Linked DNA regions of Rattus norvegicus. The protein of the gene in region 1 interacts with the protein of each later gene in a biochemical or structural test. Links are inferred from orthologs where the notes say so. Each region holds a gene or a part of one and is shown on either strand. Other genes may lie near its edges.

The links.
Region 2: of the proteins of Lck (region 1) and Ptpn22, one has a biochemical effect on the other in vitro, tested with the Homo sapiens proteins (3 studies listed by IntAct, with this or other methods). The link is inferred for Rattus norvegicus from reciprocal best matches to the Homo sapiens genes LCK and PTPN22.

The regions. Positions count from the first base shown.
Region 1 is NC_086023.1:147,180,199-147,185,426, forward strand, and holds part of Lck (proto-oncogene tyrosine-protein kinase LCK), read right to left. Parts: intron 3,474-5,228; exon of another isoform or gene 3,364-3,473; coding exon of another isoform or gene 3,336-3,363; exon of another isoform or gene 3,239-3,335; coding exon of another isoform or gene 3,234-3,238; coding exon 3,129-3,233; intron 2,416-3,128; coding exon 2,334-2,415; intron 2,161-2,333; coding exon 2,070-2,160; intron 1,805-2,069; coding exon 1,706-1,804; intron 1,411-1,705; coding exon 1,307-1,410; intron 1,100-1,306; coding exon 950-1,099; intron 695-949; exon of another isoform or gene 674-694; coding exon 521-673; exon of another isoform or gene 383-520; coding exon 203-382; exon of another isoform or gene 1-202. UniProt on the Homo sapiens protein: Non-receptor tyrosine-protein kinase that plays an essential role in the selection and maturation of developing T-cells in the thymus and in the function of mature T-cells. Plays a key role in T-cell antigen receptor (TCR)-linked signal transduction pathways.
Region 2 is NC_086020.1:194,053,234-194,059,095, reverse strand, and holds the start of Ptpn22 (tyrosine-protein phosphatase non-receptor type 22), read right to left. Parts: upstream 3,853-5,862; 5' UTR 3,741-3,852; coding exon 3,654-3,740; intron 1-3,653. UniProt on the Homo sapiens protein: Acts as a negative regulator of T-cell receptor (TCR) signaling by direct dephosphorylation of the Src family kinases LCK and FYN, ITAMs of the TCRz/CD3 complex, as well as ZAP70, VAV, VCP and other key signaling molecules.

The DNA.
Region 1 (5,228 bases):
CATTGGCAGAAGGCAACAGAAACTGCACATCAGGGACTATCAGAATTAGAACTGATAGATCAGAGGCCTAGGGGCCCAGGAAAGCGTCCTTAGAAACCTTCAGTGGCAGGCCAGAGAAAAAAAGCACATTCCTAGCCTGGGTGCAAAAGGCAGTGAGGCCACAATAGCGCCCTCAAGCGGCTGGACATGGAAGCATACCCACCGTTCTCCATGTATTCTGTGATAATGTAGATGGGCTCCTGGGTGACCACTGCATAAAGCCGGACGAGCCGCGGGTGCTGCAGCTGCTTCATGAGGTTAGCCTCTGCCAGGAAGGCATCAGGAGACATACTCCCTTGCTTCAGACTTTTCACTGCCACCTTCGTGTGTCCATTGTAGTATCCTGGGAGACGGGATACGGGTAGAGGAGTTACAGAGGTCAAGATCCTGACGAACCAGGCAGCCGCCCTGAATAGGCCAGTGTGAGAGGAAGCTCACACTTCCTCCCCTCTTTCCAATCAGTACAGAGAGCCACACTCACCCATCCACACTTCCCCGAACTGGCCAGCTCCCAGCCGCTCAACCAACTTCAATGTCTCTCTGGGAACTTCCCATTCGTCCTCCCACCATGGTTTCTGGGGCTTCTGGGTCTGGCAAGGACGGCTCAATTTTGTGCACAGCCCATCAGAGGCGTCTGCATGGACAAAGGAGAAGGGTAAGGCGGTCACTAGAGACCTTGGATGCTCCCTTCAGCTCCTACCTCTCTCCACTTTATTCGTAGGGATAACAGACTGACATGGGAGGGGAGACGTGTGGGTCATCCAACATTAGCCTGCAGGGTCCAGGGTCAGGTACTATACCCCTCATCCATTGAAGGGGAAAGAAAGATGCTTGGAGGGTCTCTAAGAAGGACTGGGGGTAGATAGGCTGCTAGGAAAGGCACAGGTGAACGCATTCCGCCAGAGCTCACTGGTGTAATGGCGGACCAGATCGTGTAGTCCGGGAAAAGTGATACGAGGGGAGATGTAGAAGCCACCGTTGTCTAGGTTACGGATCTTGTAATGTTTCACCACTTCTCCCTGGTTCTGGTCGAAGTCTCTGACTGACAGTGAAAAGGATCCTGAAGAAAGATTGGAGAGGGTAGGAGGAAAGAGATTAGTTGAAAAGGGAAAAGAAAAAGAGGCGGATTGCCTTCCATAAATCAGGTGGCCACCGCACCCGTTTCCTCCTGCTCTTCACCCCCCGCCCATCTCCTCGCCCGCAGGCGTCCGCCCTCACCTCACAGCCCCGCCCACACCGAGGCTCCGCCCACCAGGCTCTCTCTCACCGGCGGTGCTTTCGCTTTCCCGGATCAGGAAGGATCCATGCGTGTTCCCGGGCGCCAAAAGCTGCCGCTCGGCGTCCTTACGGCTCAGATTTTTGAAGAACCAACTGTGTAAAGCAGACGCAAGACCATCGGCTGTTGGTCTATTTCTTTCTTTTTTGTTTTGTGCAGCCCTGGCTGTCCTTAAACTCCCTCTGTAGACCAGACTGGCCTTAACTCAGGGATTCGCTTACCCCTCCCTCCGAAGTGCTCGGATTAAAAGCCTGTGCCACCTTTGTCCAATTCTTCCTCCATCCCAGTCAAACTTCCCCCCACTCCCTGGACCACGCCCTGTTCTGAGATCCCTGGATGTGCCTCCCCTACTCCCCACCCCTCCCATCCCCACAGAGGTCTCCTGCTCACGGTTCAGGCTCCAGGCTGTTTGCTTTCGCCACGAAGTTGAAGGGGATGAAGCCTTCTTGGCCAGTGGTCAGGGACTGAGCCTTCCACCACTCACCGCTCCTGCACCACAGAGACCATCATCACGGTGTACAGAGCCACTGGAAACCCCTCAGAGTCCCCAGTTAGACTAGGCCATCACTCCCCCGTATCAAGCACTCTGGAGATTTCTACCTCATTCCAAAAGCCCTCTGCTGTGGCCAGAGCCAGTCAGGGGTGCAGGAGGGCTGAGGACACACACACACACACAAACACACACACACACACACACACACACACACACACACACACACACACACACGGCAAGGTAGGTTAGAGGTATACTCACTGCTCCAGGATTCGGAGCTGTTCACCCTTTTCAAAGCCCAAGTCTCCATCATGGGAGGGCTCATAGCTGTGCAGGGCAATAACTAGGTTGTCTGTAAAGAGAGAAGGAGTCAAGAGGACCCAGCCTGGGGCTGACAGGAACAGTGACGTTCTAGAGACACAGGATGCAGACTAAGTGGAGAGATGGGGAAGAGGGTATGGACAGGAACGGGCAAGCCTCCACAGTCTGCTGTTATTATGTTTCACACGCTGTGGATGGAGTCACCTTGCAGCGGGGAGGCTGGTGGGAGGGAGCCCTCATAGGTGACCAGTGGGTCCCGAACTTCAGAGCCGGTCCGGATGGGCAGCTGTGGGGTAGGAAATGAGGCTGGGATCAGAGAAAAAAAACTGGATCTGACCCTGGTTCCCCTCCCCTCTATACTCTTTCTATTTCTCCAGTCTGGCTGGACCTTGCCTCTGAATTCACCAACTGTGTGCGTGTGTGTGTGTGTGTGTGTGTGTGTGTGTGTGTGTGTGTGCGCGCGCGCGCGCGCGCGCGTGCACATTTGACTTTAGGAAGGTCCATTCCTCTATGTGGACCTCTTCTGTGATGCACTCCAGAGAAGATGGGAATGCTGCTATTTCCAGAGCCTTTAGTTGTGATCCGTTTATTTATTTTTTCCCCCTGGATACACAATGTTTCCTCCATGCCATCCCTTTACCAATCCTAAACCCCCCACACCAGCCCTTTACCAATCCTACCCCCATTCCTTCACCAATTCTATCCCCCACCTGCCCATCCCTTCACCACTCCTCTCTCCTCCCATCCCTTCACCAATCCTATCTCCCCTCATCCCTTCACTAATCCTATCTGCCCTCCCACCCCAGCCCTTCACCAATCCGATCCCCCAACCCCCACCCCTTCACCAATCCTATCCCCCATCCCTTCACCAATCCCATCCCTCCCAGCCCCCATCCCTTCATAACTCCTATCCCCCCCATCCCTTCACCAATCCTATCTCCCCCCTCCCTTCACCACTCCTATCCCCCCATCCCTTCACCAATCCCATCTTCCTCTTACCGTACTCTTGCTGTCCAGTGGGACTATGGGATAGTGGCAGTTTTCACACACGTCAATGTTCTCCATCCAGTCATCTTCGGGGTTTGAGCTGCAGACACAGCCCATGATCCCTGAAGGAATGTAGAGAGGCCTGAAGGAGCTCCCCCTAAGCCAGTTCCCCCAACATCAGACATCCTAGAGCACAGCCCAGGAAACTACAAAAACTACCTGAGATTGTCAGCTCAGAGGCCCCCATTGGCCGTAGACAGAAGAGCTGAAAAGTGGAATTCTAGTTTCCCACTGGGTTTACTCCGAGCCCTCAAGCAACGAGTTCACAGGAGGCTCAGGCCCAAGGCTGGTCCCCACCCTCCCACCTGGGAAGGGCAAACCGCCGTCTTTGTTAGTCTAGTTACCCACTTCCTGCCCTCCTCAGCTCTGCTAGTCCCCAATTGGGGGACTACCTGGGAGACATCACACACACACACACACACACTTTGCCAAGCTCTGGGGGAAACCTAGATTTTCATTCCACTCACCTCTACCATGAAGGGTGTCTGTCCCTTCTCAGTACAAGTCCCCTGCCTAGCTACTGAAGCTGAGAGGTTCCAACTCCTTACAGTCAACCTTCAGCTCATCACCCCCACCCCCACTCACAACCACAGTCCCCTTCAGAGGGTTTCTTCAGACAAGCTTTTGAGCAGCAGAAGGAAAACTGTTGGTGGCCTCGTTGGCTGTAATTGCGTTGCTCACTTGCCTGGTTTAGCTGTGGAAACTTTTCGTCAAGTGAAATCAAGCAGAACCTCATAGACACAGCAAGTCACAGCAGGGCTCCCTCCGAAGCCTCTGGAATCCCCATGTCCCTCCTTCCTGAGCACTGGTCCTCAACAAACGGTTTACCACGAGAAGATTAAGTTTTGTTTTAGTTCTTTAGCTGAGGTCTTACTACGTAGCCTCAGCTGACCCTGAGGCCTAAAACTCGTTTTATAGACCAGGCTGGCCTCAAACTTGCAGACATCTGCCTGTCTCTGAGTGTTAGGACTAATAAAGGGCTACACTGTCATGTTTTTGTTGTCAAGAAGACCCGGGGCTGGGGATTTAGCTCAGTGGTAGAGCGCTTGCCTAGCGAGCGCAAGGCCCTGGGTTCGGTCCCCAGCTCTGAAAAAAAGAAAAAAGAGGGGAAAAAAAAAAAAGACCTAGTCCCTCTCTCAGTACTGCAGTCTATTATGGTATATACCACACAAACAGACACACACGCGCACACACCACACACACACACACACACACACACACACACACACATGCAACTTGTACTTTGAACTACTTTGTTTTCACCACTCACCCACCATTATTGTCCTTAGACCACGCCATTGTGTTTCTGACTCTGTTTTTGTTTTTACTTTTTAGTGTATGTGTGTGTGTGCTACAGCTCAGGTGTGGAGGTAGGAAGACAATTTCAGGAACAGGTTCGCTCCTTCCACAACCTGGGTGTCTGGGGATTGAACTCAGATTGGTAGGCTCAGCGGAGGGCGAGAACGCCTCATCAGATGCGCCATTTTGCCTACCCTGTGTTTGTGACTCTCACACCCACCCGCTACCCTCTAACTCCATCTGTAAGTTTGCGCTCAAATGTCACATTGTGCCTCTCGGGCTCCTGCCCCATTTTCCTCAGGCCACAATTGCTGGGCCAGGCTCCAAGGGACATGCAATGTTCCTTATCTCCTCTCCTTTAAAGAAAAAGTTCTATTTTTATTTATAGTTGAATGTACCTCCATATGTGTGTGTGTGTGTGTGTGTGTGTGTGTGTGTGTGTGTGCGCGCGCGTGCGTGCGCACGCAGTGCGGGGTGCACACAGAGGCCTTTGGATACCCCAGAACTGAAGCCACAGCAGGCTGAGGCACTCGACTTGACCTCTAGACACAGAACCCAAGTCTGGAGAAAAAGCAACAGGGACTAGTAACACCTGCGCCATCTCTCCATCTGCTGCCCTACCCCCTTGATGGGGCACAAGAATAGAAGCTGTGTATCACCCCCCTGGAAGCCTGCGGCACCCATCAGCGGGATGTGGAGACTAAGTTCAGATTCTTCTTGCACCTGCAGAGGTCTTAAACCATCAAACCTAAC
Region 2 (5,862 bases), on another chromosome or scaffold:
AATAAGCTTGAACCCCTGATCCTGCTGAGTGCTGGGAACGCAGATTTGTACCACCAAGCCTGTTCTGTGGATTAATCCAGGGCCTCCTGTGTGATATGCAGTCAATGGACCAACCATGTGAGCACCATCTATAGCCCAACAATCCTATTTCTTGATCTAGGGGTACATAAGCCTGCTTTATTACTATTTATGAAGTTGATGTCTACGTTTAAAGCATTTGTTGTTTCTATGTTATATTTTAAATTTTTTCCAAAAGTTTAAAGCATTAAGGCCAGTTGATCAAATAGAGGCAGGAGGCGACAAGTAACAAGGGCAGGGGTTGTGATACTAGCTGGTGTATTGTTTGAACTTTTAGTTCTATGACTGTGAGCTGTGTGGCTTTCTTTTTTGTGAGTGTGCGGTGCTAGAGAGTTGAGTTCGGGGCCTCGAGTGTGCTAGTCAGGCACTGATATATGTCCTCTGACCTCCATGCATGAGCCATGGCATACATACCTTACCCCCTACTGACTAAACAGATGCATAAGTGTAATTTAGAACATTCTGAAGGGAACTCAATCTCCCAAGGTGTTCTCTGACTTTCACACTCTCGCTGTGGCACCTACATGTGTGTGAACACACACACACACACACACACACACACACACACGCACATTTAAAAATATAAAAATAAAGAAAGGTCTGGAAAGATGGTTCAGTAGATGGCTCACTTGCTGCTTAAAGCTGAGGTCCTAGACTCAGTTCGCAGCATCCACCCAGTGATTCACAACACCAGTTCCAAGGCATCCAGCTCCATCTTCTGGCCTCCACTAACTCCATGCTATACACATGCAGGCAAAACAATACGTATATACACACAAAATGCAAATCTGTCTTTAAGGGAGCATAGTACGCTTGGTGGCACGTGCCTTTAATTCTGTCACATAGGAGGCAGAGGCAGGCAGATTTCTGAGAGTTTGAAGCCAGCCTAGTCTACAGAGTGAGTTCCAGGGCAGCCAGAGCCACATAATGAAAACTCAACAACAACAAAAGTCAGGACAGGAAATCTACATTTAAGTGTAAATGCTGTATGGTAATTGCCACTAAGGCAGTTACCAGTGCCCTTACGTCACAGAATTCATTCTGAAATCTCATACACACAAGGGCTTCAAGTAGACTGGAGGCAGAAGTCAAGTGGGAACCTTCCAGTGGGATGGCGGCATTTCCCTGGCCAATAGCTCCTCTCTCTGAAAGCTATTTTTCTTGTGTCTCAGTTGAGCCTTTAGGTGGGGCTTTAGGGTAAAACTCTTTGTTTTTTCCACTGGAGGACATGAGTCAGTGAACAGTGAGGTTCCACTTAATCACCTCCCCAAAAGAAGGTTCTCAAACATAAGGAACTAGAAGGGCAAGGAAATGATTAGTATAAAACCAGGACAGTGATTTACCCTTGAGTCGGGTGGGGTGAGGGTGAGGTGGGTGGAGAAGCCATCTGTAGAAGGGACAGTCGGGAATCTCTCGGAGTTAGACAGTACTGCAATTATTTTTAATCTGGGCAGTGACTACATTGGCAATGGTTCCTTTATAACTTCATTCACACATTTCATGTAGTTTTCTAAATATATATCGTAGTTCACAATTACAAGCAGCTAGAAAATACAAGCTATAAAAGGTTCTTTTAAGCTGAGACCAATATAACCGGATTTATGTTATTAAAAAAACCACTTTGGAGCCTGGCGTGGTGGTGTACCCCTTTAATCTCAGCACTCAGGAGGCAACAGTAGGTGGATCTCTGAGTTCAAGGCTAGTCTGGTCGGCATAGTGTGTTCCAGACCAGCTCTGACTACATAGTGAGACCTTGTCTAAGAAATTAACTAAGGTGGGACAAGGCTAGAAAGAGAGGCAGGAGGTAGCTGCCGGTTTGGTAAGAAACTATCATGACATCTACAAGTGGTTAAAATATTAGAGATATAGTCTGCTCTGTTTTGAAAAATACAATCAAAATAAGACAAAGCGGGCACTGCCTCTCAGCTCCCGTTCCCCTCTGTATCTTATAAATTGTCACAAGAATGTCTCAATAATACAGTAAACAGGCATGTTTGTATCTAAGCAGACACATTGGCAACTCTACCCTGTGGCTAATCTAACCTGAGAACTTGTGGCAGAAAGAAAAGATTTTAATGACACCATGACCTTATGCAAGTTGAGCTGGCATAACATTTTAGCATCGAAGTTGAACCACTATACACTAGCCTGCTGTGATATCTAATCACACTATCTGTTCAGTGAAAGCATCTCGTCTAATTTATCTGGTGCTGGAACGTTAGCGCTGGAAAGCAAAGACATTTTGTTTACTATTGTATCTTAGCGTGAAGAAACAAAGTTGGTACACAGTAAGTGCTCAGTAAATATTATGGAATGATCCCTTTTTTGAGACAAGTCCCTCTAAGCTGCCTGGGCTAGCCTTGAACTCAAGATTTAACCCACCTCAGCTTTCCAAGTAAATGGGTCTCTAGGCGTCTCCATAGTACTCATTTAATTATTATAATTATTGATATGTAATCATCACAACAATCCAAAATGAGGGTAGATAGGACATAAATTATTATCCTTATTTTTTAAAAGCTAGAAAACAAAGATTTAGGATGATTTGGGAACATGTTAAATACTTGATATTTGGATGATGGCCAAGTCAATTTGCTTCATTTTTCTCAATTCAAGGCTGAAGGGCTAAGGCTTAACATTCTTATAGTTCTGAAATACCAATTAGAAGCATTTTAAAACACAAAAGGCCGGTGTGGTAGATGCCTTTGATCCCAGCATTCTGAGGCAGAGGCAGGAGGATCTTTGAGTTCAAGGCCAAACCTAATCTACATAGTGATTTGTAAGCCGGGCAGAGCTAGGTACCGATACAAACAAACAAAACAAGCAAACCCAAAAACCAAAAGCACGACTGGTATGCCAGTCATCATGCTATCCCGCACGCCTGACTTGGACGGAGCATGGCCTACCCAGCTTCATTGCACTGTCAACTATGGCTCCCTCCAAGTGGATTCATTGTTCTGGGTAATCAAGTCCTCCTGCTCCCAGGCTGCCTTGCTCTCCGTGTCCCTCACTCCTCTCTACTCCCTACTCTACCCAGTCCACTTCTCCAGACAGTATACGTTAAAGAAACCCAGTTACTGTAAAAAAGGAAAATGCCCGTTCTGATAATCAACTTGTTACAAAAGGGAAAGGAGGAAAAGTGGCAAAGGATAGTTTGGGTGATTTTTCAAAAGCCTGTTATACCAACGATATCCTACCAGGAAGCTAAAAATAACACTTAACATGAAAAGTTACTCTTTCTTTTTAGTATCAATTAAAATTAGTAATTTGAAGCATAAATCACAATGCAAATGCTTTCTCCAGATGCTCAGAAAGCATGAATACTCATATATCTGTCTGGACCTTCTATAGGATTGTTACACTCAAAGAACACGCAAACCCCGCATTAACACCAGCATACCTGGAGAAAACCCTGAACACACAGATACAACAAAACCCAGAGAGGTTATGTCTTTAGTTCACCTTCCTCCCTTCTGTGTTCATGTTGTCTCTCCAGCAACTGAGTCTAGGCAAGCTCCATCCCAGCAGACTGTTACAGTTTATCCAACTGCTCTTAAGAGCATTACAGAACTCACCAGAAATTCATTGGCAAACTCCTCCCTGTTAATTTTCTTTTTCTGGGCCTCTTTCAGTAGCTGCTGCAGAATTTCTCTTTGGTCCATGCCGTAGAGCAAGAGTCTGTGAGTGGGTTAAGGGAGGGCATGTCAAATATGTGTCATGGCCAAGACACCACCAAGAAGCCACCACTGCTGCATGAGCCGGGCGTGCTGGAGGCTGTGGTTAACTGACTTCATCACAAGCCCTAGAGGAAATTAGTACAAAACTAGCTTCTGTGGTCACACAACAAAGCCATCCTCTCCCTGCAGGGCCCTAGCGCCTTCCTTTCTCAACAAAGAAACTTGGCTACTGTTCAAATGTAACAAACAAGAGGCTAACCAGAACACAAACTGTGGTCTGCTTAGCTCAGAGTCTGTTCCACTCTGTCACTCAGACAGCTCTCAGCTCTCCTTCGATTCCCAGAGGAGAGGCAGAAAGTACAGTTCCAACCTGGGAGTTCGGCCTTCCACGTTCCCCCAGTGAGCAAAGGCCTGGGTGACACCCGTGCCTTGTTGCTGGAAAGGAGACAGACTCTGGAGTTACCTATCTTCTACCTGGACGATTATCCCCAAAGTCTCTGGTAGATATGATCATGGCAGACCTCTTGCTTATCAAGTGGGCATTTTTATTTCAGAACTTGTCGAGCCTCCATTATAAACCTCACATTTTCTTTTAGAGGAAGCAAAGTCCACTGCTTCTGACAGGTCGTCTCACCCATGTCTGGGGAAGTAAGTACTGGCCTCCATTAAGGGAAGTGTTGGTCTCTGTACCTCTTCAGACCTCCAGTAGCTTTGTAAACATAGAGAGCACTGCTTTCGGTAGGATGGGAAGCACCCGGCAGGCAGTTAGCACAGTACCCCCAGAACGCACTGCAAGTAAACAGCGAAGGAACAAAAACTAACTAAAGCTAAAATCTACCTTGCTGAGAATCTACAGTTTCTAGGCCAGCCTGCCTCGAGAGAATTGAGGAGAGCGGTGCAGTCTGGAGTCCCAGCTACTCAGGACTGTCTCAGCTGCAGGGGCACTTGAGTCTAGGAGTTTGAGATACCAGGGAAACAAAGGGATCTCTCTCTCTCTCTCTCTCTCTCTCTCTCTCTCTCTCCGAAACTGAAGAGGGAAAGAGAGGGGAGGAAGAATGAAAGAAAGAGAGAAAGCCTTTTTGACATTTTGATCCTACAGCCCCTGTCTTGGAAAAGACCCCGTTTCAGGGAGCCATCCATATTTGTGGCATTTGTGCCTTGACAAGGCAGGTTGTTCCAGAGAGCGCTTCCACATCTCGGTTTGCATAAATCCTCTCCTCAATGGTTGCATATCAACCCACCCAAGATCTGATTCAGTGTGAAAATGCCCGCAAATGAGGAAGTTGAACAAACGATATGTTACAAAATTAGTTTCAAGTTTAAAAAAAAAAAAAAAAACCTGGGAAAGGTGTAGTTTGGATACAAACTTCCTCTGTTTAAGATATTAGCAATCCTTTCTGGTATTGCACTATTCAAACTCCCTTCAGAAAATCATGATTTTGAACACAAAACGCACTGTACCCTCTTCATTGAGCCCTTGGTAGGCAACTTGAAGTTAATATTCCACATAAAGAATTTCAATTGTGGTTCACATAAATTAAAATTAACCATAATTCTCTAGCAATATTTCCTGAGAATAAAACAATATCTCTGAGATTATCCTCATCTAGCATTAAAAGGAAATGTATTGCTACTGTAAATAATGCAATATCTGACTATTTTAAAACATACAAAATATGGGGAAACTTTATTTTTAAAAAGAATACAACATTCTTCAGGGCATACTGGCATATATGTGTAACACTAGCACTCAGGAGGCTAAGATAGGAGAATTGCTACAAATTCCAGGCCTATCTGGGCTACATACCAAAACAATCTCAAAAATAAAATAAAATACTTTAAAAATCCTAAGTTAACTATAAATAAAATTATATAAAAATATGAAATTTAAGCCAGACTCAGGAAGGCAAGTTTTACATGTTTTTGTTCCTCAAACAGGGAATCTAGGTTTAAATGTGTGTGTGTGTGTGTGTGTGTATGTGTGTGTGTGTGTGATGAAACTAGAAAGAGGAACACTGTTATCATATATTAGTCACACATAATGGATTACATGACATTTTCATATTGTAGTTAATGCATTCTGACCACACTCTCTACACATTCGGCC